Alligator mississippiensis: one gene and its partners. The protein of the gene in region 1 interacts with the protein of each later gene in a pairwise test. Links are inferred from orthologs where the notes say so. Each region holds a gene or a part of one and is shown on either strand. Other genes may lie near its edges.

Region 1 (9,502 bases):
GAAGCTCCTCTCAAAAGACTAGTGCTTGACCTCCCATACAGCTACCTTGTGTTGCTGCCTGGCTTCAGGTAGCAGCCTTCAACTCCCTGCTTGTTGAGGAAGGCAGAGCCGAGGGAGCGTGATCGGCATAAGAACATGTGGCCGAATCAGACACCTGGAGGCCATTAAATCCAGCTCCTTGCCTGAGGCAGGATCATTCCTATCTAAACCCTCCCACGCAGCTTCTTGACCTGTTTCTGAAACTACATTGCCAGGGCTTGCCATAACTCCCCATAGGTCATCAGACCCTTTGCCTTGCAGACACCAGGTTACATATATGAAAGGGACTTCACTTGCCCTTCCCTTGGCTTGTAGTAGCCCCACAAGCTGGCTGCTCTCTCCTCCTTCTCCGAGTAACTACCGCCATGAATTAGAGGCACACAAAAATCATCATAGCAGCTAGCGAGCAGGTAGAGCTACATCAGCCTCTCTCAAAGCCAAAGGGAAAAGCTAGTCCAACAGCCCCATGCTCCTGCCCCAGTCAACCAGGTATATGGTCCCACAATTGACAGGGTTGAGAAAAAACATATAAGAAAGTCCAAACCTCTTTAATACACCTTGACCACCTTCTGCTTGAACCCAAAGGAGACATCCCAGACCCAGAGGCAGCCCCCAAGCCAGCAAAGGGCAACACAACCATCCTTGCTCATGGGCTCCTTCTTCCCCCACCTCAAACACCAGCTTAGACAGCTGCCTGAGGCCCCATTCAGCCAGCAAGGAAATAATGCTACACAAAACCTCCCAAGCTTGTCCATCAACCTGGGAGCCCAATAGTTCCCCAGCCAGCCAGCTCAGGAACCCCTGAACAGTGAGCGAGAGCCCAGACAGCTAGTCCAATGCAATTAGATGCCAGAAAACCTCTGATACCACCTCGACCATAATTCTGCACCAAACCAGCCATCCAGGCAGCAACAAGACGGGACATGGGAGGGGGTCAGTTTGCCCCGCAGGCCAGCCATCCAGCCAGGGGACTCTTTCTCCCCTTAAGTTAGCTAGCTGGCTATCTGCCTCCCCTCCCCCAGCCAGCCAGCTAGCCACAAACCTTGGGATTGGGATGGGCTGAAACCCTCCTGGTGAATTCCCCACCAGTGCTCACGAGCTCCTAAAAGTCCCCAGCTCTGTTGGTGAAGCCTGCTAGAGCTGATGGCAAGTACGGGCCCTGCACAATGCAATTTTGTGCCAGAAAGCCCCTCCAATACCAGCACCTGGACCATAATCTGTCCAAGACAGCTGGCCACAAGCTTGCAGGGGTGTTGGGCTCCCATGCCAGCCAGCCCCAAGCCTTGGGGTGGGGAAGAGTGTGGTCTCCCTGAAACCAGCCAGCTGGAAACCATTTGCTGGGGGAGGGTTTCCCCAAGCCAGCCAGCAGTAAGACTAACCTCTAAACTTTCCCAAGTGCTCCTTTTTATTCCCACACTCTAGCCAAGACACAGATGCTTGGGGCAGCTCTTGAAACCCCAGAGCCAGGTCTAGAGAAGCACACAGTCCTCCGGCATGATCGCTTCAGGTTCAGCCCCTCGAGGGTGGCACAGGCAGATGGCAGCCCCTGCTCCCTCTAGGCCAGACACGAGAAGCACCCACTCCTTCTGGCACGGGGCAGGGAAGGTTTTGCGGGCTGTGACTGGTGAGGACGTGCCCCACGGGAAAGCCACGGGTCCTCCCTGCTGCGGTGGCCCAGATGTCTTTCTTTCCAGGTGAGCCGTGCGGGGCTCACTGCATGCTGCGGGCTCTGAGCTTCAGCCAAACCTGGGGGAGAAAGGAAAGGCAGCGTTCAAACACCAGCTCAGCCCAGCGGGGTAGGGTCAGCCCCCACCTCATGGATGGGGCCATCACACGGCCCTTAGTCCAGGCTCCTGCTGGGCTTTCTACTGGCACCAGTCACCCCTGGCCTCCCAACAGGGTTCACCCTCCTGCCAGAGCAGCAGGAGCCCCTGCGCTCTATCCCAGCTCTGCCCCCAATTTGATGCATGGGCCTGGATCCCAGGCTCCCCAGCAGCAACAACCGGAGGATCGGAGGTTCATGCTGGGAGGCTTTCCCAAGCACAGCTCACCCTTGTCATCAGCTGCAGAGAGCAACAACAGCCACAGAGCTGAGGCGCTGCAAAATCTTGCTCCTGAGAGGTCCCTCCTTCACCCGCCACCACTGGAAGCTCTGGTCACGCAGCTCCGGTGGAGTATCCTGGGTGCTCTGGTCACTGTGCCCCACCGTCAGCAGCACGTTGAAGCAGACGCCATCAGCCTTCCCTGCCTCCTTGCCCAGGTGCTGCAGGCCCAGGACCCCCTGGGCTGTCACAGTCACTGGGCCCAGCAATACGCACTCGCAGAGCAGCCGGGCTGCTGACGCCCGCAGGCCCCGGCGCATTTCTGTTGGGGTTGTGCTGCAGGCCATCACCGGCAGGTGCAGGGCCCCTGCTGTGCTCATCAGCACCCACAAGTCCCCGGTGCTGTTGGTGAAGGCTGCCAGGAGCCGCTGGCAGATCTGGGTGCAGGGCATTTCTGCTGGCAAGGTGGGTGGATGGGATGGGCGGGTTCGGTACCGTGCAGCCAGGTCCAGAAGGGGTAGGATGTCCGGCGCACGCAAGGGCAGGGTGGGAGACTCGCGATCCCACCACCGGGCTTGTAGAGACTCAGCGTCAGCTTCCTGCAGCGTCTTCAGGCTCCCACCTGGATGAAGGGATAAGAACAGGCTCTGACGGTGCTGCGCTCGGGGCCCTGTATTTTTAGCATAGCTGAAGGCTTGCCCTATCCTCCCTGCTACGTATGCCAGGGCCAAGGCCAAAGCCAAGACGGAGCCCTCCCTTGCCCAGAAGCCCTCAGGTCTGGTTCAGCTCTGAAACCAATATTGCTCCTTCTTCCATGCTTCCCCTGGCTCTTCCAGCCTTGTGGGCACTGCTATGCCAGCTGCCCACAAGGCTGCTCTCAGCTTCTTGACCACCTCCAGCTGGCACAGTACTGTAACCCTCCCGTCCCGCTGGCTGCAGGGCAAGGGGACTCACCTGTCGGCTCAGCAAGGAAGACAAAGCGGATCCAGGCAGGGCCCCTCTCCTCCACTGCCAGAAGGGTGAGGGGATCGCACTCCAGCCCCGTCTCCTCTTTCACCTCCCTCCTCATGGCCTCCACAATGGTCTCGTTGGGCTCCATCCTCCCAGCAGGCAGGTACCACATCCCATGGCACTCGGCCTTGGCTTCCTGCATCATCAGCACCTCGTTCTGGGAGGGAGGAAGAATCACAAGTCATGGTCAAGGAGTCACTGGCATTCTGGGACCAGTACAAATTTGGAAAGGGGCCAAGTCAGGCCCTTCCCCTCACTGTCTCCATCTCTAGCCCAGATTCGAGGGATCAGCTTGCTGAATGGGGAGCTATGAGAGGTTTCCTTGAGTAAGCCGACCCCCCCTGCTCTTCTGGAGGCATCTGCAGCGGGCCGCGCAGCCTGAGGCCGCTCCCCAGACTGCAAAGTCTCTCATCTTCAGTCTCGCTTTTTTTCAGACGTCAACAAAAAGGCGGCACAGCAGGTCCGGGGGGTGGATTTGCAGCAGCCCATGCTCGGAGGGCAGGAGGGAGCTGCGTGCTTTCTGTTCTGCACAGGCTCCCCCTGCCAGGACGCGGGGCACCCACAGCACACGCACCCTCTGCCCCTTCCCAAACGCAGAGCCCGCCTCACCTGGTCATTGAACAGGAGCGCCAGCACGATGTAGCAGGCGTTCCTCCGCAGCCGCACGGGCTGAGCGGGCTCTGGCGCAGAGTCGTACCTCTCCTGCACGGCCCATCCTCTCCCTGCCAGCACCGCGTCCAGCTCCTCCATGACAGCCTCGGTCTGGGGGGTCAAGGGGGGGCACGGCAGCTGGACAGGGACCTGGGTCACAGCAAGCCAGGCAGGCAGGGGCTGGAGCTGGGCAGGTGCAGCAGGGCTGGGGAAGGGGGAGCTTGGGGAGCCCCTGCCCTTGGTCCTGATCCCTGTCCTGCCCCCCACGCACACTCACCCCAGCTGGAGCAGACTCACGGAAGAGACCTCCGCGCCCTACTCCCATTGGCTGGCTGGGATGCCACGCTCGCCTCCCATTGGCCATCCCCATTTTCATTCAGCCCTCAGCGACTGCAGATGTTTCTTAAAGGGGCCGCGACCCCGCACCTGAGCGTGGGGATCCTCTCAACAGGGGCTAGTGGTGGCAGTGGTCCTGAGGCATCTCAGGGGTTCATAGGGGCAGATCCTGAGGCATCTGCTGCGGGGGGGCAGGAGGAGGAAACGTGGGACAGTGCTAGTGGTTAAGAGGCACTTAACCCCTGGGATGCCCCAGAGCCACTGGCACTGCCTCTATTAACCCTTAAGATGCTGCAGGACCACTAGCACTGCCCTTATGACCCCTTGAGATGCCCCCAGTGCCCTTGGCAGCACTCGGGGTGGGGGGTCCTAGGGGCAGAGCAAGTGGCCCTGGGGCATCTTAAGGGTTAATGGAGTCAGTGACAGTAGTCCTGGGGCATCTCAGGGGTTAATAGGGGCAGTGCCAGGGGCCCCGGGGGCATCTCAAGAGGTCATAGGGGTAGTGCCAGTGGTCCTGCAGCATCTTGAGGGTTAATGGGGGCAATTCCAGTGGCCCAGGGGCACCTCAGGAGCTAATAGGGGCTGTGGAATAGCCCCTATTTGGGGTCTCTAAGATGCCAGGGACCCTAGGGGCATCTCAAGGGGTCATAGGGGCAGTGCAAGGGATCCCGGGGATATGTCAAGGGGTTATGGGGCAGCACCAGTGGCCCTATGGCATCTTAAGGGTTAATAGAGGCAGTGCAAGTGTCCCTGGGGCATCTTAATGGTTTATAGAGGCAGTGAGAGTAGCCCTGGGGCATCTCAAGGGTTAATAGGGCACTGGGGACATTTCAAGGGGTCATAGGAGCAATGCTAGCGGTCCTGCAGCATCTTAAGGGTTAATAGAGGCAGTGTCAGTGGCTCGGGGGCATCCCAGGGGTTAATAGGAGCAGTGCCAGGTGCCCAGGTGCATCTGAAGGGGTACAGGGGCAGTGCTAGGTGTAGGCAAGGCTTGAGGGCTCCTATCAGGACACTCATAGCTCCTCCCTTTGGGGTCAGGAGCTGCAACCCCCACGGCCTGTCTCCTTCTCTCGTGGGGGCATCCGGTGCCTGTCCTGGCATCGCTGCAGCCGGAGCATGGTGTGAGTGGGACCCACCACCCCTCTGCTCACAGCAGCCTGCATGGAGGCTCCTGGTGCCAGCCTCTGCAGGGCCCTCATCAGCCTGATTGCTTTTCCCCATGGGAAGCTGGCATCCACGCAGCACCGGACAGCAGCTGGAGGGTGCCCACACTGGCCTTTCCTTCACGTACCTCCTTGCCATCCTGCCCTGCAGGGTCTGCCCTCTCCTGTAGCTTGATTGCACTGACTGTAGAAAGCCTGAACGAAATGCACCCCTGACCCCTGCACCCACTCAGCCACGGAGTACAGGGCCTCCACGCAATGCCACGCGGCAGCTAAACGGAGCATAACTGAGTGACCAGGGAGGTGGCAGGGCTGAAAGGTGCCAGGAACTGATGGGGCTTATGCACCTCACCGTGCTCATAACAAGGGAACCAACAGGCCACTATCGGGTCTGGAGTTCGTTTTGCCCTGTTATCCGGTGTGGGTGTAAGGGGAGCACGCTGTGCCAATTAGTGTTAGAAGCACCTCTGTCAATCCTTCAATCCTATCTACTTTATTGAAATGCCTAAACACAGATATTTGAGCTGAACTTTAGGCTCCAGTGGGAGAAACATTGATTTTTTTGCTCTTTGACTAGGCCAGCGTTGTTCTACTATCATGATGCTGCCTCCTGTCGCTAGCTAATGGTTAGTCCAGGGCTTCCTTACAAGGGTTTCCCTTATTGGGCTCAGCAGAGCACACCAAGCATTTTGGATGCTTCTTCACAGCGTACCTGGAAATCCTACAGCAGACTGGAAGCTGAGATGTGGTAGAGATGGCACCCCTGCGTCTTTCAGATGGCTTTACGTGTTTAAGGCTGAAGTGCACGCAGTGGTATTTCTGGGTGACGTAGATCTAGCATTCCCCTATAGTTAAGCCAAGGTCTCAGCCTAGGGAGCATGAGCATTTTTAAAAACTTACCTGCTGTTACAGTTTCACTCCTACCCCACCAAACACATTATTGATCGGGGGGGGGGTTCAGCTACACAGCTGGCATTGCAGCCATCCCCATGTACAGCAGTCATGCTGCTCCAGGGAGAACGTGGGGGCTCAACCCACACTCCTATTCTTGGTGGCACCAGCACCACCCCCATCCCAGGCACCCCCACACATGGCTTCCTGTACCCCTACCCAGGGGAGGCAGGAAGGAGACTTAGAAACCTCCCCTTCCACATCACAAGATTGACAGGGTTAAAAAAAAAGCAAAAATATGTTTATTTGACAGCATAATTGGTAGAAATTGAAAAACACACACACACACATAAACACGCCCCCATTGCCCCCCTGAATTGCTCTGGGTGACAAGTTACAGAAAGGACCTTCTTGGGGACACTGACACCTTTGTCTCCAACTGCAACTAGGCAGAAGCAAGTTTTTTTACATTCATGGGAAAACACATTTCTCCCATTCAAACACCAACCCAGCGGGAGCAGTGCTTCGAAACAAGCACCCGTTCCCCCCATGGTGGCTGAAGTGCACCGCACAAGGAGCTGGTGGAATTGATTTCACTCCTGGAGACCGCCAGGTGCTTACATCCTGATCTTGCAATGACTGGCTTGGCCCAGGTGGACAGCACAGCTCTCACTCTGTACCCAGGTCTCCCTCCCTGCAGGCCTGTTACAACCCCAGCTATGGAGCCCGGCACACAGGGTGCAAAGGCCCAGGCTTTGAAGGATCCCAGGTTCAAATGCTGACACAGTCCTGCTAAGCTCAATAGTGCAAGGGAAGGCAAACCCTGAGTTCCTGACTAGGAGCTAAGACCTGGCACTGAAACCCTTGGTGATTCACCCAGCACCTGAGAGCTGAAGCCTGGGAGAGCATTCAGTTCAAACCCGCCTGTCAAGCTGATTTTTGCAGGTCAATGCCCGGAGCACAAGGAAAGCGCTTGAGGCCCAGAGAAGGGGGGTCACTCCCTTGAGGCGGCACTGAAAGCTTTCATGTCCCCATTTGCCTGCCCCGTGCTCAAGCTGTGAAGCTGCGGCTGCTGTCATGTTAACTGGGTTAGATCACCGGATTCCCAGGGCTTGAGTTTGCAACTGGAGAAGGTGGAAAGTGAGTGTCACTGGGACGTGAGCTGGATTCCTCCAAAGAAATGAATGCATCTACTCCAAGCAGAGCCTCTGCTCACTTTTGAGCCCCAGAACGCAGGCTCACAAGAGCAACTGAACACAGGCAGCGTGCTTGGGGGAAGTACTAGGAACCTCCCCCATCCTTTAGACCTCTGGGGACGTAGCCAGCATCCCCACTTGGCCGCTCACCTTGCCCAGCTGCACAGCGGGCAAGGTGCCAGCTGAGATCTGTATCATGTCACCTAGATACAGCTCTACTGGGCTAAAAGCTGGGCTGTCTGTTATCTTTGATAGGCCCTGTGAGATGAATGAGAAGCAGGGACACCTTGTAAGAGACTTCAGAGGACTCAAGAACACAGAGCCAAACAGCTCAGAGCCTCTCCTGAGCAGCTCCATGTCCCTTAGGGTCTAACAGTGTCTCTGGACTCCAGTGCTGAAGCTTTTCCCCCATGTGTAAGGAGGCATGAGAGAGGGCTAGCTCCTTAGGCTCCAGCTGGTGCCACCTTAAGCCACAGTAGGTTCCCCTTAATGCAGGGAAAAGCCTGTGTCTCCAGCATCTGCAGCACATCTGGAGGCTCAGAGAAATGCAAGCTGGAGGAGAGCCACCCACTGGGACATGATCCCAGATGGATCTGCTGCCATGAAAAGTTGAGGCCCAAGATGTTCAGAAGGACCTATGTGTCTTCCCCAGCACAGCCCTGGCCTGCCCAGTTTTAGTGCCACTGCAGACCAGAGATAAAAACCCACAGACGATTTCCAAATAGAAAGGCGTCGTCATTCACACCGATCACCACAGTGTGTAATGAAAACAGGTATAAAATCCATCCAGCGTGATCCACACGCAGCAGGAACAGCAGAAAGATGCCTGGACTGATATGTATGTACACAGCAAGGTGTCCTGTGAGCAGGGGTACGCGTGCAGCCAAAGGAGCCGGCTACATGGCAGACTTCATCTCCCATTCCTGAAAGAAGCAAACAGAGCATGATTATTGTCCATGGGTGGGGTCAGGAAGGAGATCCCCAGCTCCATACTGCACCATGGGGTATGTTTTTGGCAAGAGGAGCAGCTGTCCATGGCCCAAGAATGGATAGCAGCTGGGCAATGAGCTCATCTGTTATTCCAGTGCAACCTTTTCTATGCTTTATGGAGTTTCCTGATAAAAACTAAGTTAAATTTCAGTTGCTGTGATGGGAGGGCAGGCAGCCCTACGTGGCACTTGCAATTCTCCTCAAAGCAAGCAACGAGAGCCCATAGAGTCCAAGTTCAAGTTACATTTAAAAGAAATGGAAACATGGGAAATGCACAGTTAATGGGCTCAAACACACTTAACTGCCCACAAGTGCCTTTGCCCCCTTCCACTGGACCATAACAGCATGGTTGCAATTCAGGCGTTATTCTGCTTGTGTCCCCCAGGGAAGGTATTTAAAGACATCAGATGCTCAATTTGTTTGCCTTTGGCATGAGTCCAGAGCAAGGCCTGAATTAACAGATCTTGTTATGGCTCTCAGTGGGTGAGCTCTTCTGCCACTGCACTCCAAAAGACTAGTACAGTGCCTCCCAACCTTTCCACACTCAGAAAATACTAGCTCTTACTTTTCACTCACCTTCACCCTGCAGCAAAATACTAGAGCAATTCTTCCACTGCAAGGAACTCAACAAAGACCACAGCAGGACAAAACGGTTTTAACACTAAGGCTGACTATTTGAAATCTCAGGGTTTAGCTTGTGAATCATGTTTGCATGTCCAGTGGTGCTAACACTGTATAGTGGCACCCTTGAAAGGATCTGAGGGCGTAACAGGGTGCTGCAGCACCGTGGTAGAGGATCACTGGACTAGGAAAAGAGAAGGCACACAAGTTCAAAGCCAGCAGACCCTGGGCAGCAGAGGGAGGGCACTACTGGTCAGGTAAGTGGCTGGCTGTAGGTGGATGCTCAGCTCCAGTTAGGGGTCTAGGAGTTAGCTCAAACAGTCCCTGACAATGGCCAGCATCCATCAAGCCTCTCCCACCTGGAGCATGACCCCCTGAGTGGGACAATACAGAGAAGACCCCTATCGTACCTTTCTCTTTTGAAGCACCTTCCCCTTCTCAATGATGACGACGGACGGTGCCCGCTTCAGGGTGCCCTTGGCAGAGGATGTGCGCTTCAGGAGAGGTGTCAAGAAGGAGCCCTGTTTGTGAAGGGAGAATGGCAAGGCTGAAGGAGACACTT
Region 2 (10,002 bases), on another chromosome or scaffold:
ACGGGCACCTGAGTCAGAGCCGTCAAACTCCTGCGCCGTGTTCACATAGACCGAGAAGTCAGCACCGTTGCGCTGGGGGAGGGGGAAGGGCAGGGTGTCACCTCCCCAGAGGCAGGGAGGGGAGGGGGGTTCATCCCAAACCTAACAGGCCCCGTGACCTCCCCATCACCATGGGCAACAGAACCTTCTCTCCCCCACTCCTTCTCACCATGAGGTTGGCATTGGCAATGTGATGTTTGACCAGGCCCCCACCCAGAATGATCATCCCCGTCTTCTTGGCGAACATAGCCTGGGTATTAATGAGCCGTAGGTCTGTCCGGGGAGAGAGAGAGGAGAGGAGACAGGCAGCGTGGGGAACCCAGGCAGCCCTACTCCCCTCCCAGAGCTGGAAGAACCCAGGCATCCAAGCTCCCTGCAGCAGGCAAGATGCTGCCAGGAAAGGTTGCCATATCCCAGGGGGCTGGAGGGGAGGCAGCCATAGGGGGCAGGATCACCCCTACCCCCCCAGCCCTGTGGGGCCTGGCCTCACCTTCCACGATGTCCAGCACCAGCCCTGGCTTCTTGTAGGAGTGGAAGAAGATCATGTCTCCCAGTGAGCCATCTGTCAGTGCCGGGCTCAGCACCGGGATGTTGTTCTGGGGGTGAGGGAGGGGTGGCATCAGGGCTGGAGGGGGGAAACCCCCTTGCCCCGCAGTGTCAGCTCAAGGAGCAATTCCACGGAAAAGCCAGGAAGGACATCCAGGAGTCCTGGCAGCCAGGCTGAACCCAAACCCTGCCTGGGAGTTAGAGGTCAACCTCTAACCCTGGGCTCTTATCTCCCCCAAAAGCTGGGCAGGGCAGGGCTGGGCTGTGCTGCTTGTCAGGGTGGGGGATGTTCCCCTACTTTGCCCTGCTCTCCCTACCAGCCCAGCCGCCCCTCCATACCTTCTGGGCCCAGTAATAGACCGACTCAGGGTTGTTGATCTCCTTGCCGAGCCGCGCGATCATCTTGGATGGCGTCCACTTGACGCTCTGTGGGAGACGGCCACACCCACTGTCACCAGGGGGGCTGCCCCCCCAGCTCAGCTGCCCCAGGGCTCAGACACTTGGTGGGGAGGGGAAAGTTCCCAGGAGTCCTCAGACAGGAAAACCCACTGAGAGAACCCAGGTGTCCAGGCTTCCAACCCCCTCCAGCTCTAGCCCACACAACTCCCCTCCCCAAGCCACACCCAGGCATCCTGCTCCTACTACCAGTGTCCCCCTCCTCACCCAGAGAGAACCCAGCTGTCCTTGCCCTGCCCTCACACCTCAGTGTCTTGTTCAGCCACCATCTGATCCAGGATGGGCATGAGCCAGTCCTCAAACTTGCAGTAGTTGTCATTGGGTACCAGCAGGTTCCCAATCCTGCAGGGACATGGCCACAGCTCAGTCCCTGTCCAGCCAGAGAACCTACATGTCCCAGCTCCCTGCCTCCCTCCCTTGCTAGAGACCCCGAGCATCCGCTCCCCTCCTGCTCTGACCCGCCAGATCCCTTCCCCAACCTTGACCTAGGAAGAGAACCCAAGTGTCTGGGTTCCTTCTGCTCTAAGCCCCTTAAATCCCACCATCCCTCAGAGCTGGGGAGAGAACCCAGGCATCTGGGCTCCCACCAGACCCATCCCCTTCCCCTCCCAGAGGACCCAGGTGTCCAGGTTACATCTACTTCATCCCCCCCAAACCCCACCCCTCTCCAGAAGTAGGGAGAACATCCGTCTACCAGAGGCCCCCCCCACCTGTTGATCCCGCTCTGTCGAAGCTCTTTCCCACGCAGGCTGAAGTCCCCGATGTAGGTGGGCGCCAGGCACTTGATGAGGTCCTCCTCCACGCCCCCTGCCGTTGTCACCAGCACGTCCACCTGCACCCACCCACACCATCAACCCAGGCCCTGGTGCCCCCAGCCCTAGGATCCCTGGGATCCCTGCCACTGCCCCCTCCACCTATGCTGGGATAGGGGGAGACCCCTCTCTAAAGTCTTTGGGGTTATTCCCAAAGCTGGGGGGGTGGGGATCAAATTTGGGGGAGGGGAACTGGACTATACCACACTGTACTGCAGGTGGGAGGGAGTGAACTGGGCCATACCATATTGTCTCTATGGGGGGGCTGGGCCATGGCTTGAACTGCTGCAGGGGAGGAGGGAATTGAGTCATGTCATGTGGGGGGAGCTAGACTATACCACGTTAGGCTAAAGAACGGATAGAGCTGGACCACACCATGTTGTGGGAGGGGAGCAGATAGACCAGGGATAGACAACGTTTTTTGGCCAGAGTGCTGAAAAAAACACAATATCTACCTTGGAAGGTACTGGAGTGCTGACATGCCAGAACCCAGAGCAGCTGGTTGCAGCCTTCCAGCTGCAGCCGGCCCACAGAGCCCAGTCTGCTTGCAGCAGGGCTTGCAGCCTCTCAGCCACCTGCTGGGAGCAGCCTGGGCTCTGTGCCTGGCAACAGCTGCTTAGAGCCTGGGCTGGCAGTGGTGTGCCAAGCAAAATGGCCTTGTATGCCATGTTTGGCACACGTGCCCGGGGTTACTGACCCCTGGGAAAGACTATGCCACGTTATACTGAAGAAGGGTATTGGGCCGGAACCACATAGTGTGCCTTAGAGAATGGAACGCTGGGCTGTACCACATATTGTGGAAAAAGGGGGGTAGACTGTATTGTTTGGGGTGAGGGGCATGCAGAGCCATACCATGTTGTGCTGCACCAGGTAGCGTATGGTTTCACGGATCCCAGAGCTGATGAGGTTAGATGTGTAACCCAGGAAGATGGTGCAGCCCGTGGGTGGGCGCTGACAGGGGTTCAGGTCTGCATGGTTCTCCTCGTCTGCTACCTCCCCCAGTGGCTCCAGCTTGGCATCGATCTGGACACGCAAGAGACCCCGGTCAGCTTGGCTTTTGGGGGACAGGACTTAACCTATTACCCCAACTGCCTTCATCCCTGCCCCAAGAAGGAGCTGGCTGTAGGGAAACTGAGGCACCCCCAGTAACCTGCCACCAGCAGTGGCAGAGAAGAGAACCCAATATCCTGGCCCCCAGCATCCCCTGCTCCCCTCCCAGAGCTGGAAGAGAACCCAGGCTTCCTGGCTCCCCTCCACCGCCGTCTCTAACCCCCCAACCTCTCTGTCCTCCCAGCCCCGGGGGCTGGTCCTAATTGCTACCCTTCCCCCCACCCTCACCTGGCCTCTCTGCCTTCCCAACCTGAGGACCATAACCCAGGCATCCGGGGCCCCCTCACCATGCGGTGGATCTCACGCACAGCTTGCCCAAAGCTGGTGGCTTGGAAGCCTGTGGTGAGGAAGGAGCGGAGCAGGGCGTGGTGGTCAAGGCCATGGTCAAAATCGTAGCCACGCACAGGTAAGCTCTCAGGGGGCAGCGCCTCACTGGGCTTCAGCACCGCCGTCAGTGCCACTGCTGGCAGCCCCTCCATGGCCTGGGGAAAGGAGACAGATCAGGGGTGCACAGCCCCCAAACTGCCCCTGAACTGTCCTTCAAGCACCCTCAGCCTCTCAAGCCTCCCTCACCCTGCACTACTGCCCCAGGCACCCCCTTTCCCCCAGCCCCCCCAACTACCCCCTCTCCCAGCCCCCTGCATTACCCCCCAGCACTCAACTACTCGCCCCAACCCCCAGCGCTCCCTGCAGACTCAACTACTCGCCCCCAGCGCTCCCCCCACACTCACATGCCCCCCCCAGCGCTCCTACAACCCCAGCCCCCGAGAGGCAGTGCAGAGTACCTCGGCGGACCCGTGGCCCGTATCTCGGTTCAGTCCCGTACAGGTGGCACTGCCGGATAGCTGGGCGCCGCCATTTTGCTCCGTACCAGCCCCGCAGGGGTCACGCGTGCGCTGCCGTGCGGAGTGTCCGTACGGCTGGATAACGCCATTTTGGCTTTCCATCCTTCCGCAGTGCAGCATGCGTAAGTACCATCATCTTCCCCGAGCCGGCTACGGCATTCGCACAGGGTCCTGCAGGGCTGCGCAGGGAAGAGCGTCCGTACACCCAGGCGCCATACGCCGAGGCGCCACCATCTTGCCCTGCCTGCGGCCGTACACTCTTGGGCGCCGCCATTTTCGAGCCCAAGGCGAGTACGGAATCCTTGAAGGCTCAAACGTTATCTCGTCTGCTTTCCCAAGCCGTGTGCCAACTTCACTGCGGCTCAGCGGCTGCAGTGAGGGGAGACAGGGCGCTTGGGTTCCCTCCCCAGTGAAAGCGGAGGCGTCTGGGAAGCAGCATCCAAATGCCAAACCATGGTTTGCCCCTCTGCTCCACCCGCCCGCCGGTGGGTGCAGCTTAATAGAACAAGCCTGAATCGCTCCCCACCACCCCAAATTTGCATGTGCCAACATGATCTCATGCCTGTTGCAGGGCGCAGCAGGCTTCAAAAGCATCAAACACCTAAGCGGGGCGGGACGCCAGGGGCTATAGCAGATGCCTGGGTTTCTGAGCAGACGCAGCAGCTCGCCCAAGAGAGCACCACGATCCTGTGCCTAAAGCTGAGAGCCAAAGCGAGTGGAGATGTTGAGCCCCAGCTCAAGTCTGGGATCATGCCCGGTATGCAAAGGCCAATAAAGATACCAGGGGTGAAAGTACAAAGAAGGTTTATTGCGAGCAATAAAAGGTGCAAGCGGAATAATTCACGTAACAAGCACACCAGATCACTATTTCTAAGCATCTTTTATACAGGAGTTTTCAAGCCTTCGCAAGTGTGCTTATAACTTATAACCAATCATCAAACGAAGATTGGTTATAAGTGAGTGACGCAAGAAGTTCTTTACTGAGCATGTCTCTATACCTGTGTTTTAGCCATGTATCTCATTTACATACATGTGTGTTTCATTAGCATACTTTTTCCCCACCTAGGGGTGTGATTTTTAGTATTTTAATGAGCCCTTTAACCCAGAACTGTTTCTTCTTTTGCTTTCAAGTCCCCTTTATCCGAGACTGTCTCCTCCTTATCATTGCAGATGGGCATTTTTCACATAGCATTCTCTTCTTCTTATCATCTCTGAGTAGAGGTTTCTAGGTCCCTCCTTACATTTCCCCCCTTTGGAGCATTTTTAATTATTATTATAATTGCTCCATTCAATTTGGTTTAACACAAATCTAGTATCATCAGCTTTCTTTGTTTGTAAAATCATTTGATTTACCTTAGGCCTGAAGATAGATATAAAAACAGGTAAGTATTGGATATTTGACTGGTCTCTGTCACAACCCAAAGTTGTGATTTTTTGTTTGTGTGCGCTTCGGCACTGCTAAATTATTTTCCCGCTAAATTGCAGCTTCTTTGCACGGTGGAGTTTTCTGCTGCAGAAGAGAACCCCGGTGCAACGGAGAATTTCCCGCCAATTTGAAGCTTTCTTTGCATGGTGCATTTCTTTTTGCATCTAAGAAATGCTCGGTGCAAGGAGTTCCCGCCATTTGTATGAAAATTCGAGCCACATTATTGGCCAGTTCTAAAATATGCACACGTGGCGGCTAGCGATTGGCTTGCTAGCCGTATAAAGAGCTTGGGTGGTTTCCGCCCAAGTTGGAGAGAAATTAGAGTGAGAGAGAAACCTTCGCCTTGCGTGAAGATCTCTAAGCGCTGCGGATCCTTACGGACTCAACGCATTTCTTAAAAGGCAACAGAGGACTGAACAGCCTCTGGCCTCTCCCCATCGCCAATAGATTCCTAGACGTATCCCTTCCTGCACGAGAAACTACCGAACCCGCGGAGCTTCAACAACTCCGTGGGAAAGAACGAATTTGTCGTAGTCCTCTAACGAGGATTTAAGCGGAGCTGTACCTGGAAAACTGTCCAGCCTACACCACGACCACCTTTGGTGTAAGTAAACAATCTTTGAATCAACCATTACGCGTCCGTGACTAATTCTAGCTCGCCTCCGGCTTTCTCCGACCCCGTGTGCCCAAGCTGCTGGCCACAGCCCGCGTGCACAAAAGGGCCCGGATCGCTCCCGGCCCGCACAGTCTCATTACAGAGGACATTTTTACCTTGGTTCAATTTAAGGGAGTTACCAGTACAATTAACCATTAGGAAACATTCGGAAGCATTAGCTGTTGCCTGAACCCGTAAGGAAAACATGTTTCTGCTTTTATCTTTTACAATAGTCCCCCAATTATATATATTCTGATACGTACTTTCCTTATTTATATCTTTCAGCATAGTATAATTTTGTAAAATTTTCAAAGGGGTTGGTACTGCGATTAAACATGAGGTAAAAACCAGGTGAGCATTGATCCCTCCTGCTAAGCAGAAGTCTGTTCTATTTAAAATTTCCCGGGCCAGATAAATCCAGACATTTTCCTGAGGGTCAAATTTTTGTTGTAAAAGGTTTTCCCCTCTTATGAGAAGGAGTGGACAGATCAGGACGCCCCACAATAAAACCTTGACCAATTTCATGATAAGGGCTGTAAAACTTGATCAAAAAATGACAAATTATTTAAAGTTCCTTTCTTCTGAATAGGAATTTTAAGTCTCTTATTGGCTCCACCTTCCACGGTTCTCTGCCTCCAGTCCCGGAGTCTGCAGGGGTTCCTTCTTGTTCTGGTCCAGCCACCAGCTTTAGGCGACTGGAATGTATCCAAGTCTTGATTCCCTCGAGCTTTGCTGCCGTCGGGGTCGTCAAGAGTACCCTATATGGGCCCTTCCATCTGGCTCGAAGTGGTTCCTCATTCCAGTCTTTCACAAGGGCGTAACTCCCAGGTAATAGTCGGTTTTCCGGGGCAGGAGATTAATCCTGTGACTGCAGCACGTCCCGTACCTGCTGGTGGATGGAAGACAAAACAGAAACCAAGGACCATACATATTCTCTAATCATTCCCTCTCCTAAAACATGTAACTGTTGTTCAGTACCCATGGGCAGACTCAGAGGGTAAGGCTTACCATACATTATCTCAAACGGACTTAATCCCAATTTAGAATGTGGTGCGACCCTTACTCATAACAGGGCCAAGGGTAGGGCCTCTGGCCATTTGAGTCGAGCTTCTTGGCAAATCTTTGCAAGGTGTCTTTTTAAGGTCTGATTCATACGTTCCACCTTTCCACTGGACTGGGGTCTCCAAGGGGTGTGTAAATGCCAGCTGATTCTCAGGAACTCAGAAACCTTCTGAGTAACTTGTGCAATGAAATGTGGGCCATTGTCTGACCCTATTCCTTTTGGAAGTCTGAAGCGAGGTATGATTTCTCGTAGGAGCGCCTTGACCACCTCTCAGGCTTAGGCAGTCCGACATGGGAAGCACTCAACCCAATTAGAGAAAGTGTCCACAAAGACAAGGAGATATCTCATCCCTTGTTGCCGGGGCAACTCGGTAAAATCCACCTGCCATTCTTCTCCTGGCCCATTGCCTATTCTCTGATGTCCTGGAGTTTCTTTTTTCCCTCCTTTTGGGTTATTTCTCTGGCAGACCTCACATGTCTCTGATACCTTCTTGGCAGCCTCTTTTAATCCTACTCCAGTTACATAGTGACTGATCCATCTTACCAGGGCCCTGGGTCCGTAGTGGGTGTCATGATGAGCGCTCTTTACTACCACATGAACCCAGGCAGCTGGGATGATAATGTGGCCATCCTTTGCTACTAGCCACCTGTGCTCCCCCTTCTTTGCTTGAAACTCTTTTATTAATTGTTTGTCTTTTTCCCCATACTGTGGTGTCACAGGCTGGTATAGGTCTGGGAAGAGAGGTAACAGATTACTTACTTCGGGCAGCAAGTCTGTCTGAGGTCTTTTAGCTGCTCTCTTTGCCATAGCGTCAGGAAATTGATTACCTTTTGTGGAAGGGTCGTTCCCTTTCTGATGTGCCTTACAATGCATTACTGCTACCTCCTTCGGTTCTCAGACTGCCTTGAGGAGAGCTTTTATTTGCTTGCTATGCTTAATGCTTGCTCCTTTAGCATCAAGTAGACCCTGCTCTTTCCACAGCGCTCCGTAAGCATGTAAAACAAGGAAAACATATTTAGAATCAGTATAAATATTGACAGTTTTGTTGGCTGCCAATTGCAAAGCCTGAGTCATAGCAGTGAGTTCAGCCTTTTGAGCTGAAACAGATGGGTTTAAAGGTCCTGCTTCTATCACATTCTGTGTAGTCACGATAGCGTATCCGGATTTTCGAATTCCATTCTCCATACTCGAGCTGCCATCCATGTAGAATTCCAGTTCAGCATTGTCAAGGGGTCGGTCTCTCAGGTTTGGTCTTGAGGAGTAAACAGCTTCCAATGTTTGCAGGCAATCATGTACAAGATCCGGTGTGTCAGCCATAGGTGGCAACAGTGTTGCTGGATTTACAGTGCGAGAAATGGCCAATTTTATTTCAGGCTTATTGAGGAGGATGGCCTGATATCGAGCCATTCGTCCCGGAGTTAACTAGTTCCCTCCTTTCTGCTCCAGGACTGTAAGCACTGCGTGAGGCACATATACAGTCATTTCATGGCCTAGGGTTAACTTTTCAGCTTCTTGTATTAGCAGACAGGTGGCAGCAATGGCCCGGAGACAAGCAGGCCATCCGGATGACATAAGGTCTAATTGCTTAGAAAAATATGCCACCGGTCGCTGCCAGCTACCTAATTTTTGTGTTAATACTCCAACGGCCACCCCCTTTGGTCATGCACCAAAAGGGAAAAAGGCTTACTCATGTCGGGTAGTTCTAAGGCAGGTGCTTCAATAAGAGCCTGCTTTAACTGGCAGAATGCTTGCTCACACTCTTCAGTCCATTCGAACACCTTTTCATCACCTTGTGTAGCTCCATACAGAGGTTTTGCAATAACCCCAAAATTTGGAATCCAAATCCTGCAAAAACTTACTGTACCTAAGAAGCCCCGTAGTTGCTTCTTTGTTTTTGGGGTTGCTAGCCGGCATATAGCTTCTTTTCTTTCAGGCAACAGGGCTCTCTGACCAGGGTGTAGTTCAAATCCCAAATATGTTACCTTCTGGGACATTGGTTGCATCTTACTTTTGGACACCCGGTATCCTTCTTGTCCCAGAAAATTAAGGAGGCAGATTGTTCCCTCCAGGCAGCTTGCTTCAGTGGTGGCTGTTAAAAGCAAGTCATCCACATATTGCAGAAGGGCACAGGACAGTGGCAGTTTTAGCCTACGTAAATCCTTGCTTAATGCAGTGCCGAATAGGGTTGGGCTGTTTTTAAACCCTTGGGGTAAGACAGTCCAGCAAAACTGAGTCTTAATGCTAGTATCTGGGTCTTCCCATTCAAATGCAAATATTTCCTGAGATTGCCTCTCTACCGGCATACAGAAGAAAGCATCTTTTAAATCAATAACCGTGAACCAGTTATGAGCTGGGTTCAAGGCAGACAGCAGGGTGTATGGGTTGGGGACAACCGGGTGTATACTCACGACCACTTTATTTACAGCTCTCAGGTCTTGAACAAAACGATATTCGTCACTCTTAGGCTTCTTCACGGGCAAGATGGGTGTGTTAAAAGCTGATGTGCATTCACGGAGAAGGCCATACTCCAGGAACCGTTCAACTAATGGCTTCAGTCCTTTCCTGGCTTCCATCCACATTGGATATTGTTTCACGCACGGAGGCTGGTCCCCTGGCAAAAGTTGAATCTTTACAGGGTCAGCATTTTTAGCCTTCCCGGGTCGGTGACCTGCCCATACCCATGGAACAACAGCATCGAGCAGGGGTTGAGGAATATCCAGTGTACTTTCCTCTCGGAGAAGGCCGAGAAGGCAGGCCTGCAGGTGCCACCCCTTTTCAGGAGGCACCGTTAGGAACATTTGCCCATCCTGAAATGACAACATAGCTTGCAGTTTACAGAGGAGGTCTCTCCCTAAAAGGGGAACGGGGCAGTCTGGCATATACAAGAATTGATGGGTGACTTCGGCCTGCCCAAGATTGCAGGCCACTGGCTGTAGGAAGGGCCGTGTTACTGCCTTCCCTGTGACCCCTACCACCGGCACAGTCTTTTTACTTAAAGGTTTCAGTTTTTGAGTTAAGACGGAATGAGTAGCACCTGTATCGACAAGAAA
Region 3 (9,683 bases), on another chromosome or scaffold:
CTCTTTACATACACACAGGGGCTAGAGGAGATAAGGCAGAAAGCATGGCCCTGGGCTCAAAGCCAAGGACAAGAAGCTGAAGGCGTTAAGACACCTTTCTTCCCGAAAGGCAGCCCATCCTGATGGAAAAACACAACCAGCCTCTCCCCCATCCAAAGCACCAGCAGGTCTGCTGTCCCCAGCCATTGGGGAGCACAGGCGTGGAGTACGTCCTGCCTGCGCATGGACACTCAAGGCCAACACTAGAGCGAGCCAAGTCCCCAGGACCGGTACCAGACAGACCTCCCAGGGTGGGAATCCCGTAGGATCTGCCAGGAGCCCCTTGGCTTTCTCCTCAGGGCCACAGCAAAGCGCCGGCTACTGCTTGCCTGAACTCTGGTCCCTTCCAGCCTTGGAGGGGGGAGAGAGTAAAGGGGAAAAAGAGAAGGGGGTCATAGGAAAGTGAGGTTGAAAGGCACCTCACAAGGTCATCAAGTCCCTGCTCAAGGCAGGACCACCCCTGCCTAAACCATCCCAGTGAAGAGGGCACCGTTGGGAGACTCTGCAACTTCTCTGGGAAGCCGAGGCGAGCCGGGCACAGGGAACAGCGGGGAAATGCAGAGGACCTCGCGCCCCGGCTCTGCCAGCTGCTGTCCCCAGGGGCATGATGCTCGGGGGGTGAGGGGCGAGGAAGGGTTTGCGCGGGGTGCGGTGGAGCGGGGCCCACCTCAGTGCCCTCCCGCAGCCGCCGAGGGCAGGGGCAGGGAGGGCAAAGGAAAGTTTCCGCCCGCAGCAGGGGGACGCCTTGCAGACCTACCCTCGCCACATGCTGGCTCAGCAGCCCCTGAAGCGCAGCGGCGACGGCGGCGGCGGGGCTCTGCAGCGCGGGGCTGCAGCCCGGCCCGCTCCGGCGCCGGCTCCGCCCGGGAGATGGGGAACGGGTCACGTGCCCTCGGGGAGGCTCCGCTTGCAGGATGCAATGCCCCGCTCCTCCCTCCCGGCCTCCGCCGGCTCCTCGGGGTGCCCCGGCTGGGGTGGCCTTCCCCGTCCCAGCAGAGGGCTCCCAGTCGGGGCCCGCGTGCGCATGCAGCAGGGGGAGAGGTGGCAGGCTCCCAAGGGCCTGGCAGCACTGTAAAGACCCCCGCCTGAGGATGTCAGGGGGCTCCCACCCCCGCGAGGGCAGGGGAAGCCTTAGGCGCCCCAAGTTCCCCAATGATTCCTCCACCTTGACAAGGAAGCGGGGACCCAGCCCAGGAAGTCGCTCACTGGCCTCCCTTAGGCGGGGAGGCCACAGGCAAAGGGGACAGCAGAATCCGTGGGACAAAGAATGATAAAAACACACAGGGAGGGGAGGAGTGCCTCAGAGGTTCAAAAGAAGCGTGCCAAGCAGGGACACGGCGCGCAGCAGGCCGCGGGCAGTGCCAAGGAGCCAGCAGACGCTGCCCAGCTTCGACACGGGAATGGAGCAAGGAGAGGAAAGTGGCCCTGCAGACCCACCCGGCCAGCAGTGGTGACATGTAGGGGGTGCCTCTGAGACTGGCAGTGCACCCCCTGACACCGGATGCCGCCAATGGTGCCAGTGATGCCTGCCAGTGGTCACCGCTTGCCACCCTCCCCTTGCCGGTGATACTGCCAGTGGCATCTGCAGGTGGTTGCCAACTGCCAGTCAGTGCTCGCCACTCCTCCCCTGCACCAACACTGCTGCAGTGGCCTGTGGGTGGCCCCCACTCAGCCCACCCTAGCCGCCAACATCAGTGCCTGTGGGAACTCCCCGCTCCCTGCCACCGCACTCCCACCCCCAGGGCCGCGCCACGTCCCCCCAGCCTCGGCAGGCATGAGGCATTCATGCCGGCCAGACCCTCCTTTCTGGTCAAGTACATGGCCAGCTTGGCTAGGGTCCATATTCTAGGTGTCAACTCCCACCACTTGGGAGCCCATGTTGTATTTAACCTTTGTGGGGGAGACCCTGTTTGATTTATGTTAGTTTTATTACAAGTACTCAGTGCCTTGGTACTATGGGGATCCTGCCTGTATGTTGCGGTTGTTGTTAGTGCAATTCAGATGCCCTCTGGTGAAACACCACTGAGATCAGGACCTGTTTTGTTAAGCCCGCACACAGAGTAAGCAACATCTCCTGCTGAAAAAGGAAAGCTTGCAAGCACCCTCATTTTAGAGATGGGGAACTGAGGCACAAAGATTTTGTGATGTACTCAAGGTCACACACAGAGACTGTGGCAGAGCCAGGAATTTATCTCAGCTCTCCTGAATCTTAGCCCAATGCTGAGTCACAAGACCGTCTTCCAAACCCCTGCAAATAGGCATATGGAAACAGACGTGTGGAGCTAGAGGCCAGCACATCGATTTCTCAGGGGAAGGCAGGCACGGTGGTCAATTCTATCAGCCTAATGCAAGAGTTGTGAGAGTGGCTGTTTCTCAAAAAGCTCCAGTGGTTGGAATCAAGTGACTGCAGGGGACTTCAATTAAAAAAAAAAAAAAATAGATAAGATTCAAGTTTCTAACCCCCATGATTGCAAAGAAAAGCTTAAGAAGGTGAAGTTAAAGCACACCAAGAGCTTAGAGACAAGGAGACAAGAAGGCAAAATGGAACAGAATGGAAAGGAAAGGAAGTTTATTTTTATCTTTAAAAAAGAGTTTCATGATTTTAAGCCAGTCCCCTGATTTGAGAGGTCCTGATTCATAATGTCTGAAGGCTTGGGGTTTGCACTGCTGGACTTAACAAAAAGACTTGCCCCTATAGCTGAGATCCGCAGGAGCTGATATGCCCTTTATTCTGCTGTTGGAACAGGAGAAGCAGTTTTGGACAAGCAGAACGCCAAGCAGCCCAGCTGGGGGTCATAATGTATGGCTGGGATTTAAATTGGCACCAACAACTGCAACTTCTTTCCCCATTGCCCACCCCCATTTCCCTGACTCCAGCACATCCCTCCCACCACTGAAAAGGACTTCATCCTCTGAATGGGAAAATCTGGAATTTAAAGATGCAGTAAAGTACAAAAAACAGAGACAAAGCAGCTGAGTTACAGTGCCAGCTACCTGTGTCAGGATCACTGAAAAAGGAGGTACTAGGATTAAGATTTTGAGAAGCTAGACTATCAGTGCATGACCTTTCCCTTCCTCACGCACTGCCCCAGCCCCTGCAATGAATGCTGACCATCAGCCCCTTACCCTTTTTCACCCCTCAGCTCCACCTCAGACCAAACCAAAGCACCATGCCCTTCCCTGATGCAGTTCAAAACCCTTACATCTTAGGTCTTAACCAACTTCTTCCTACCTTCCTACAGCCGAGGGCCCCTCTCCATCCTGTGATGCCTCGACAGGACATTCACACATGAGAACACCGGCATTCCAGGTCTCTGCTGTCCCTTCCCTTGCTTTAGCTCCAGATGGGTAATCAAAAGCAGATAGATTGTACACAGTGGTCCCTGCATCCATGGCGAAGCACAGCTGGTGACGTAATGCGGTGACTGAGGGTATCTTACAGTAGAGCCACTCACAGGAGTCCATGTCATCCACAGGTGTGGGTCAGTCGTTCCACTACACCTTCAGGATCCATGCAGGCCTCTGGGAACAAATAACAGGTCAACAGGAGGGGCATGGAAAGTGGAGGCCTCCCTTTTGCCCTGAGGCCCAAAGTCCTGCCTGTCTCCTCTTTTGCGACACCGTGGCCCTAACCTTTGCTACCTCCAAGAAGCATCAGGGAGTCGGGGAAAGTATCCTTAGCTTCGCAAAGCAACACATTAACTCATTGCTCCATGTAATTATTAACTCCCAAGGCTGGTCTCGTAACCACTGAGGAATCTCAGGACTGGAAGGGAGAACTCTTCCAAGAACACACCAAGTGCAAGAAGAAAGAGAAGGCTGAGGGGGAGGAAGCAACTAAAACAGACAGGGCAGGGAGGGTGAAAAAATTGACCTCTCCAGATATTCTGCTCTTAGAGACAGATGCTGGAGCTAGTTGCCTTTGTGCCCCGCCTCCAAGTGTGAAGTTGAAGGAACAGTTAGGAACCGGCAGTGAAGGGCAAAAATTGCCAGGTCTCATATGAACACTCCTAGGCTTTGAATCCTGGTCTTCGTCCCTCAGCCACTGCCTTTGAGTAGTCTCATACTGTAGCCCATCTGAAGCAGTTAGAAGCAAGCCTCTGCTGACAGTATGGCTCCTTATTTGTCTTTTTCTCGGCAGCTTTGCCCAGGCCTGCTGTGTCCAATCGTTTTCTTACTAAAACTCCCACGTCCACTTTCCTGCTCCTTGCACTGACACCTCGTTCCCTCTCCTCCCCTCCAATCCCTTCTACCATACTAGCAAAGGTCAAGCAGGACATAGGAACAGGCCACAATCCTTCTCTTGTGGGCAGCATCACCAGACTCATACCTAAGCTCCAGGTACAGCTCTTCCTTCTCTGACAACAGGGTGCACCTGGGGCCTGAGCAGTGTGGACTGACTTCCCCACAGGACAGGCTGGGGGGTCACCTATGGCATTCTGCTGATATATATACACCAGGCAACTAGAGGAACCTCAGACAAAAAGAAGAGACCTCAGTTTTCTTTTTAGTTCAGTTCCTTGCATCCTGGATTGCAGACCTTAAGACAATAATATCCACGCTGACTCTCAGGCTCTACCTCTCTCTCTCTTCCCCTTCCCATGCACCCTACTGATGCATATGCACATACTCCCCTGCCCCCAGGCACCGCATAATTGCAGAGTGACCCAGAATCCAGCATTTGTTGTAAACAAGGTGCAATTCTGCCCTTGGTAGCAACAGCAGCTGTCTGAGCCAGGATGTACTGCCCAGCACTAGCCAGACCATGCAGCTCCAGGGCACCATCATCCAGCCCAGCTCTGACTTTTCAGAATGGATCCTACTATTCCTGGCTCAGCCTCATCCTTCCACCTCAGGCTTGGCAGGACCTAGACAAGAAGCAGAAACCCCAGGGAAGGGATCCTTAAGCTGAGGGACCTAGGCTAGGAGCTGGTCTCCACCCCAGAATCAGCCAACCCAGACAGGATGTTACTGCCATGAAAATAAGAGAATGAAAACAAGAAGTTGGAAATCCAGGCTCCTGCCGCCCACTCACTCCCCCTCCCTCCCTGCCTCAGCCAGCTGTGTGGAATGTTTGCACAACTGGCTGGAACATTTTTAGTGGGAATTCCTTTGGGATCTCTGGATCTGGGATCTCAGATTTCAGCAGAAATGGGAGGCTGGAGTGGAGGCAGTCATAAGGAAGCCGCTTTTGCCAGAACAATAAAAAAAACAGCTGCAGCCCCCTTCAGTGTATCCAGATGAAAGAGCAGATCTGGTATGAGGCACAGAGACTGTCCAACAGCAAAAGCTCAATCCCAGTGGAGCTGCAGGAAGAACAGGAGGCGGCGTAGTTGGGACACAAGTGCCACACGAATAATGCAGATGTTGGCCTGAAACTGCCTGGGCCCTGGCACTGAAAAGAGACCTACCAGTGAGCCAGTGCTTTCTGCCAGCTCAGCAACTGCACAGCAGCTCCAGGGGAGGGAACTGAGTTCTCCTGCTTGGAGCCCTGCTGTTATTTTGCAGGGGACAGTGTGAACACAAAGACTGAAGCAGACTAAAAGAAGAGGGGGAGCAGCAGGGGCTGGTCTAAAAAAAAGGAAGAGCTCCCCTCTGCTTTTAGCAATGGAGGAGCTGCACTGTCTCCCACATTCCTTCTCTGTAACCTCTGTCTGAACCTATCTCAGTGCCCAAGCCTGTGGTTCTCCTGCTCCCAAGCTCCCCTAAAACACTTGTTTGGCCTTCAACTTCAGATACAAACACAGCAGGAGAAGAGGAAGGTAGTATTTCTGATCAAGGCACAGATTTGCATTGTAAAGGATTAAGATTTGGTTCTCCAGCTCTGCCACAGGCTCCTGTATGACCTCAGGCAGATCACTTAATGCCTGTCTGCATTTCCTCTGTAGTGAGGCCAGGAGGACCACCAAGAAAAGAATTCAGACATGGCCTATGCAGCACTGCTCTGCACATATTAAGATTCCCCAGGTACTCGCGACCCTTCTGACTGGGTACACAGTCTAACTTCCAGGCTTTGGCCTGGACTGGGTAGGCTCACACGGGTGGGATGCTCTTCTCAGTGCTGCTCTAGCATTTGCAGAGTCAGAATAGCTTTGGTCTCAGTGGGCACGTTTATATGAGATGCTTACTGTGCAGTAGCTTGTTTCTACTGCACAGTACCATCGCCGGACATAAACCGTGACACGACACTACTGTGCAGAAATGCCAGTTGCTGCATAATCATTGAATACTTGGTTATGCCAGTACTAAATGACTGCACAGTAACAACTGCGCAGTGGGCGGCTCGTGTAGACGCATCCAGTGTATCATAATGCCCCATGTCTAGAAGAATATCTTTTACCCTGGGTTTGTCCAGTGGGCCTGAAGCTTTTCTGCAGCAGCAGCTAGAAATCCCAGTGAGGGAAACTGGGCTAGACACTGTACAAATATATCATCAGAGACAGTCCTGGCCCCAGAGCTCACAGTTTGAATAGGAAAGAAAGACAACGAAGGAAAGGAAGCGGTAAGTTTGCCTTGATGCCTTTCTGGAGGAGATGCCTTAGCCAAGCAGAAGGTGGGAGATGCCAGTGTGTTATTGTTTTAGCCAGACAATATGGGCCTCTGTTTCTTTGCAGACTGGGTACAGAGAGTTAATTCAGTCCTGGCTGGTTTGCAGAAATACAGACAATGGGTAGAGTTAGCCCCAATCACTGATACTGAGCAACGAAGGTGTCAGTTCCTTTGTAGGCTTATCCCCATCAGGCACTGGTTGGAAAGCCAGCTTGTAAACCTAAGGTTGAGGGTGGGGGCACTCAGAACAGGGTGCCCTTAGTGAAAATGGCAGCTATTAAAACCCACTTCTTTGAGGCTGGGAGAGTTGGAGGAGGGTGTGCAGAGGAAGAGGTTGTATTATGGTTCCCAGAAGCATGAGGGCAGCTAAGATAACTGGGAGCTACCTAATCTTGAGGGAAATGCTAAGCTGTAGGTGAGATAACACAGGCCTAAGCTTTTGTTGCTGTAACCCTTTCCTCTCTGATGACTATGAGACAGAGCCTGTTCAACTTACTATGCCTACATGGACTTAGGTGCCTAAGGGCCAGATCCTTTTCTACCTCTTAGGCATCTAAGAGGACTTAGGTGTCCAAGTGTGATCCTATTTCACCCCACTTCAATCCATGAAAAATAATGAATGCAGGAGGTTGGTCGGTCCTCCTCCTGCTCTTTTTTGTGGTTTAGTCTTAAGGCTAAGATGATGGCATGTTATAGAACAGGAGCAGGCAATGTTTTTTGGCTGGAGTGCCAAAAACCCCACAATGTCTACCTTGGAAGGTGCCGGAGTACCAACATGCCGGAGCCCGGAGCAGCTGTTTGCAGCCTCCTGGCTGCAGCCAGCCCACAGAGCCCGGTCTGCTTGCAGCAGGGCTTGCAGCCTTGCAGCCTCCTGCTGGGAGCAGCCTGGGCTCCATGGCTGGCAGCAGCTGCTTAGAGCCCAGGCTGGCGGTGGTGTGCCGAGCAAAATGGCCTTGTGTGCCATGCTCAGCACACGTGCTGGGGGTTGCTGACCCCTGTTATAGAAGAAGGATCTGACCCTGCATTCTCAGTGATCTGTAAAGAATGCTGTTCCAGTCACTGTCTTTTCACATGGGTCTTAGCACCCGAAGGAAAACAGCTGAGGAAACAAGAGTGATAAACAGAAAGTATGGGACTTGGAAAGAAGCACACAAAGAGAAGGAGAGCTTGTCCACGTAGGGAAGTTATTGCTAGGTGTGAATTTTGAGCCAGGCAGCTATGCCACATGAGTTCTCTTGTTCCCAAGTGGACGGAGCTAACCTGCACAAGGACACTCTCAGCATGGAATGAGTGTCCACCAGTAGCGTAACTTGGTGAGAGTGAATGGGGCACCAGCCCTGGGTGCCAACTTAGTGGGGGCACCAGAATCATCCCCCACCCTGTGGGGTCTGTGCCTGACAGGAGAAGTAGCCCCAAGGCTTGCTGCTTGAAGCAACAGCCAGGTGCACCAACACTGCACTGCTGCTATAAGAATGACATTGGGAAAAGGCAGACCACACTGTGGAAACAGCAGCTGAGGACTGTTTTTAAGTCCTCAGCATAGCTAATATTCCCACCCCTGGAACCCCTGCAGCATTCAACAGCACCTTCTCCCCCTTTTCCTCTGCCTCTCCCCCTGGCAGGGTTTGCCCAGGGTGCAAACCCTGCTCTTTATGCTTCCAGTGTCCACATACAGAATCAGTGTAGATGACTATATTTAGCAAGTAGATGACAATTTAGCATTCCAGACATTTTCCTGGATCCAGACAAGCCCTGAGAGAGAGAACAAAGGTTCTGCTTATGCTGGAAGTATGACACAAGCTGCTGGTCTCCATACAGAGGGACGTGAGTGAGCAGAATGGCCTGTAGTACAATGGAGGTCAGGACATTCAGAGCCAATCAATCTAGTAGTTTGGGAAATGGTGCAGCCTACTGAACTAATGGCTTCTCTTGGCCTTAAACACCCTGTAAAGGGGATTATTAGGCCCTTTTTACAGATTGGGAATAAAAAAAACTCACTTGCCTTGGGTTGCACAAGGAGTCTAAGATGGAGACATGAACTGAACTCAGGACCCCTGAGTCCCCATCTCCCATCTCAATCACAAGTTCAGTCCTTCCCGTTTTACCTTTGTGCAAACCTGAAACTCAAGACAACATTTCTAGGGGGAATGGATGAGAGTGGAGCCATGGGAACTGCCAGGAAAAAGTTCAGATGACAGCTAAAGCAAGGGAAAAGAAGATCAGGGGAAAAATCAGACCTCTGTCTTCTCTGCTAAAGCAGATAGCTCCCCCCACTTCCTAGACTGGGAAAACAAATGCGGCAAAAGATTATAACACAGAACTCATAAGTGCTGTGAGAGTTGGTGGGGGAATCATAAACCAGGTCCTGTTGCCCAGCCCCTCTCTGAGAGACTCCACTGAAAGTGACTTGAGCTCAGGGCTTTCCATGAAGCTCACGAACAGGGAGCAGTCTGGGAGTTTTCATAAAGCCCAATCCAGCATCTGTATCCTTTTTTAAAATGGTCCTTGTTAGCTCTGATCCCAATAGTAAACCCAGCTTGAACACAATGTCAGGTCAGGTCAGGTCAGTCCCAAGGCTGTTGCGACCATTGGAGCACCTTAGATGTTGTAACAACTCTCCTCCTCTCTGCCCTGTGTTTGGCAAGCTTTGTGCACTTCATTAGTTGAAGCCCTGTCCTGTCTTTAATACTGGTTCCCCAGCTTTTCTCAGGTCTACCTCTTTTTATTTTTCCCTCCACTGTGCCCTGCATTATGGTGTTGGCAAGGGCTGTCCAGCCTTCTTGTGATTTCATAGATTTCATAGACATTAGGGCTGGAAGTGAACTTGTAACATCATCGGTTCCAGCCCCCTGCCCAAGGGGTAGGAATTCAGCTGGGCTCAAAGGATCCTAACAAGTAAATGTCCAAATGTTTCTTGAAAGTGTCCAGAGTAGGTGCTTGCACCACCTCTAGGGGAAGTCTGTTCCAGGCCTTGGGGGCTTGGACAGTACAGAAGTTTTTCCTTATGTCCAGCCTAAAACAGTCTTGCAGGAGTTTGGGACCATTGGACCTTGTCGTCCCTTGGGGCATTCTGGTGAACAGGCGTTCCTCCAGAT

What was found.
Region 2: the proteins of NUDT18 (region 1) and DHPS interact in binary tests that used the Homo sapiens proteins (3 or more experiments, as listed by UniProt). The two-hybrid records come from large-scale screens. The link is inferred for Alligator mississippiensis from reciprocal best matches to the Homo sapiens genes NUDT18 and DHPS.
Region 3: the proteins of NUDT18 (region 1) and RAB3IL1 interact in binary tests that used the Homo sapiens proteins (3 or more experiments, as listed by UniProt). The two-hybrid records come from large-scale screens. The link is inferred for Alligator mississippiensis from reciprocal best matches to the Homo sapiens genes NUDT18 and RAB3IL1.

Annotation. Positions count from the first base shown.
Region 1 is NC_081830.1:18,804,456-18,813,957, forward strand, and holds NUDT18 (8-oxo-dGDP phosphatase NUDT18), read right to left. Parts: upstream 4,061-9,502; 5' UTR 3,843-4,060; coding exon 3,702-3,842; intron 3,250-3,701; coding exon 3,036-3,249; intron 2,704-3,035; coding exon 2,099-2,703; 3' UTR 2,091-2,098; intron 1,786-2,090; 3' UTR 1,422-1,785; downstream 1-1,421. Other genes in the region: actin filament-associated protein 1-like 2, read right to left, coding at 8,226-8,252, 9,351-9,461. UniProt on the Homo sapiens protein: Mediates the hydrolysis of oxidized nucleoside diphosphate derivatives. Hydrolyzes 8-oxo-7,8-dihydroguanine (8-oxo-Gua)-containing deoxyribo- and ribonucleoside diphosphates to the monophosphates. Hydrolyzes 8-oxo-dGDP and 8-oxo-GDP with the same efficiencies.
Region 2 is NC_081831.1:22,865,613-22,875,614, reverse strand, and holds the start of DHPS (deoxyhypusine synthase), read right to left. Parts: upstream 4,034-10,002; 5' UTR 3,929-4,033; coding exon 3,749-3,928; intron 3,446-3,748; coding exon 3,251-3,445; intron 2,877-3,250; coding exon 2,706-2,876; intron 1,874-2,705; coding exon 1,752-1,873; intron 1,384-1,751; coding exon 1,287-1,383; intron 1,012-1,286; coding exon 925-1,011; intron 636-924; coding exon 530-635; intron 313-529; coding exon 209-312; intron 73-208; coding exon 1-72. UniProt on the Homo sapiens protein: Catalyzes the NAD-dependent oxidative cleavage of spermidine and the subsequent transfer of the butylamine moiety of spermidine to the epsilon-amino group of a critical lysine residue of the eIF-5A precursor protein to form the intermediate deoxyhypusine residue.
Region 3 is NC_081825.1:179,118,251-179,127,933, forward strand, and holds the start of RAB3IL1 (guanine nucleotide exchange factor for Rab-3A), read right to left. Parts: upstream 3,763-9,683; 5' UTR 3,505-3,762; coding exon 3,272-3,504; intron 912-3,271; exon of another isoform or gene 808-911; coding exon of another isoform or gene 797-807; intron 1-796. UniProt on the Homo sapiens protein: Guanine nucleotide exchange factor (GEF) which may activate RAB3A, a GTPase that regulates synaptic vesicle exocytosis. Promotes the exchange of GDP to GTP, converting inactive GDP-bound Rab proteins into their active GTP-bound form.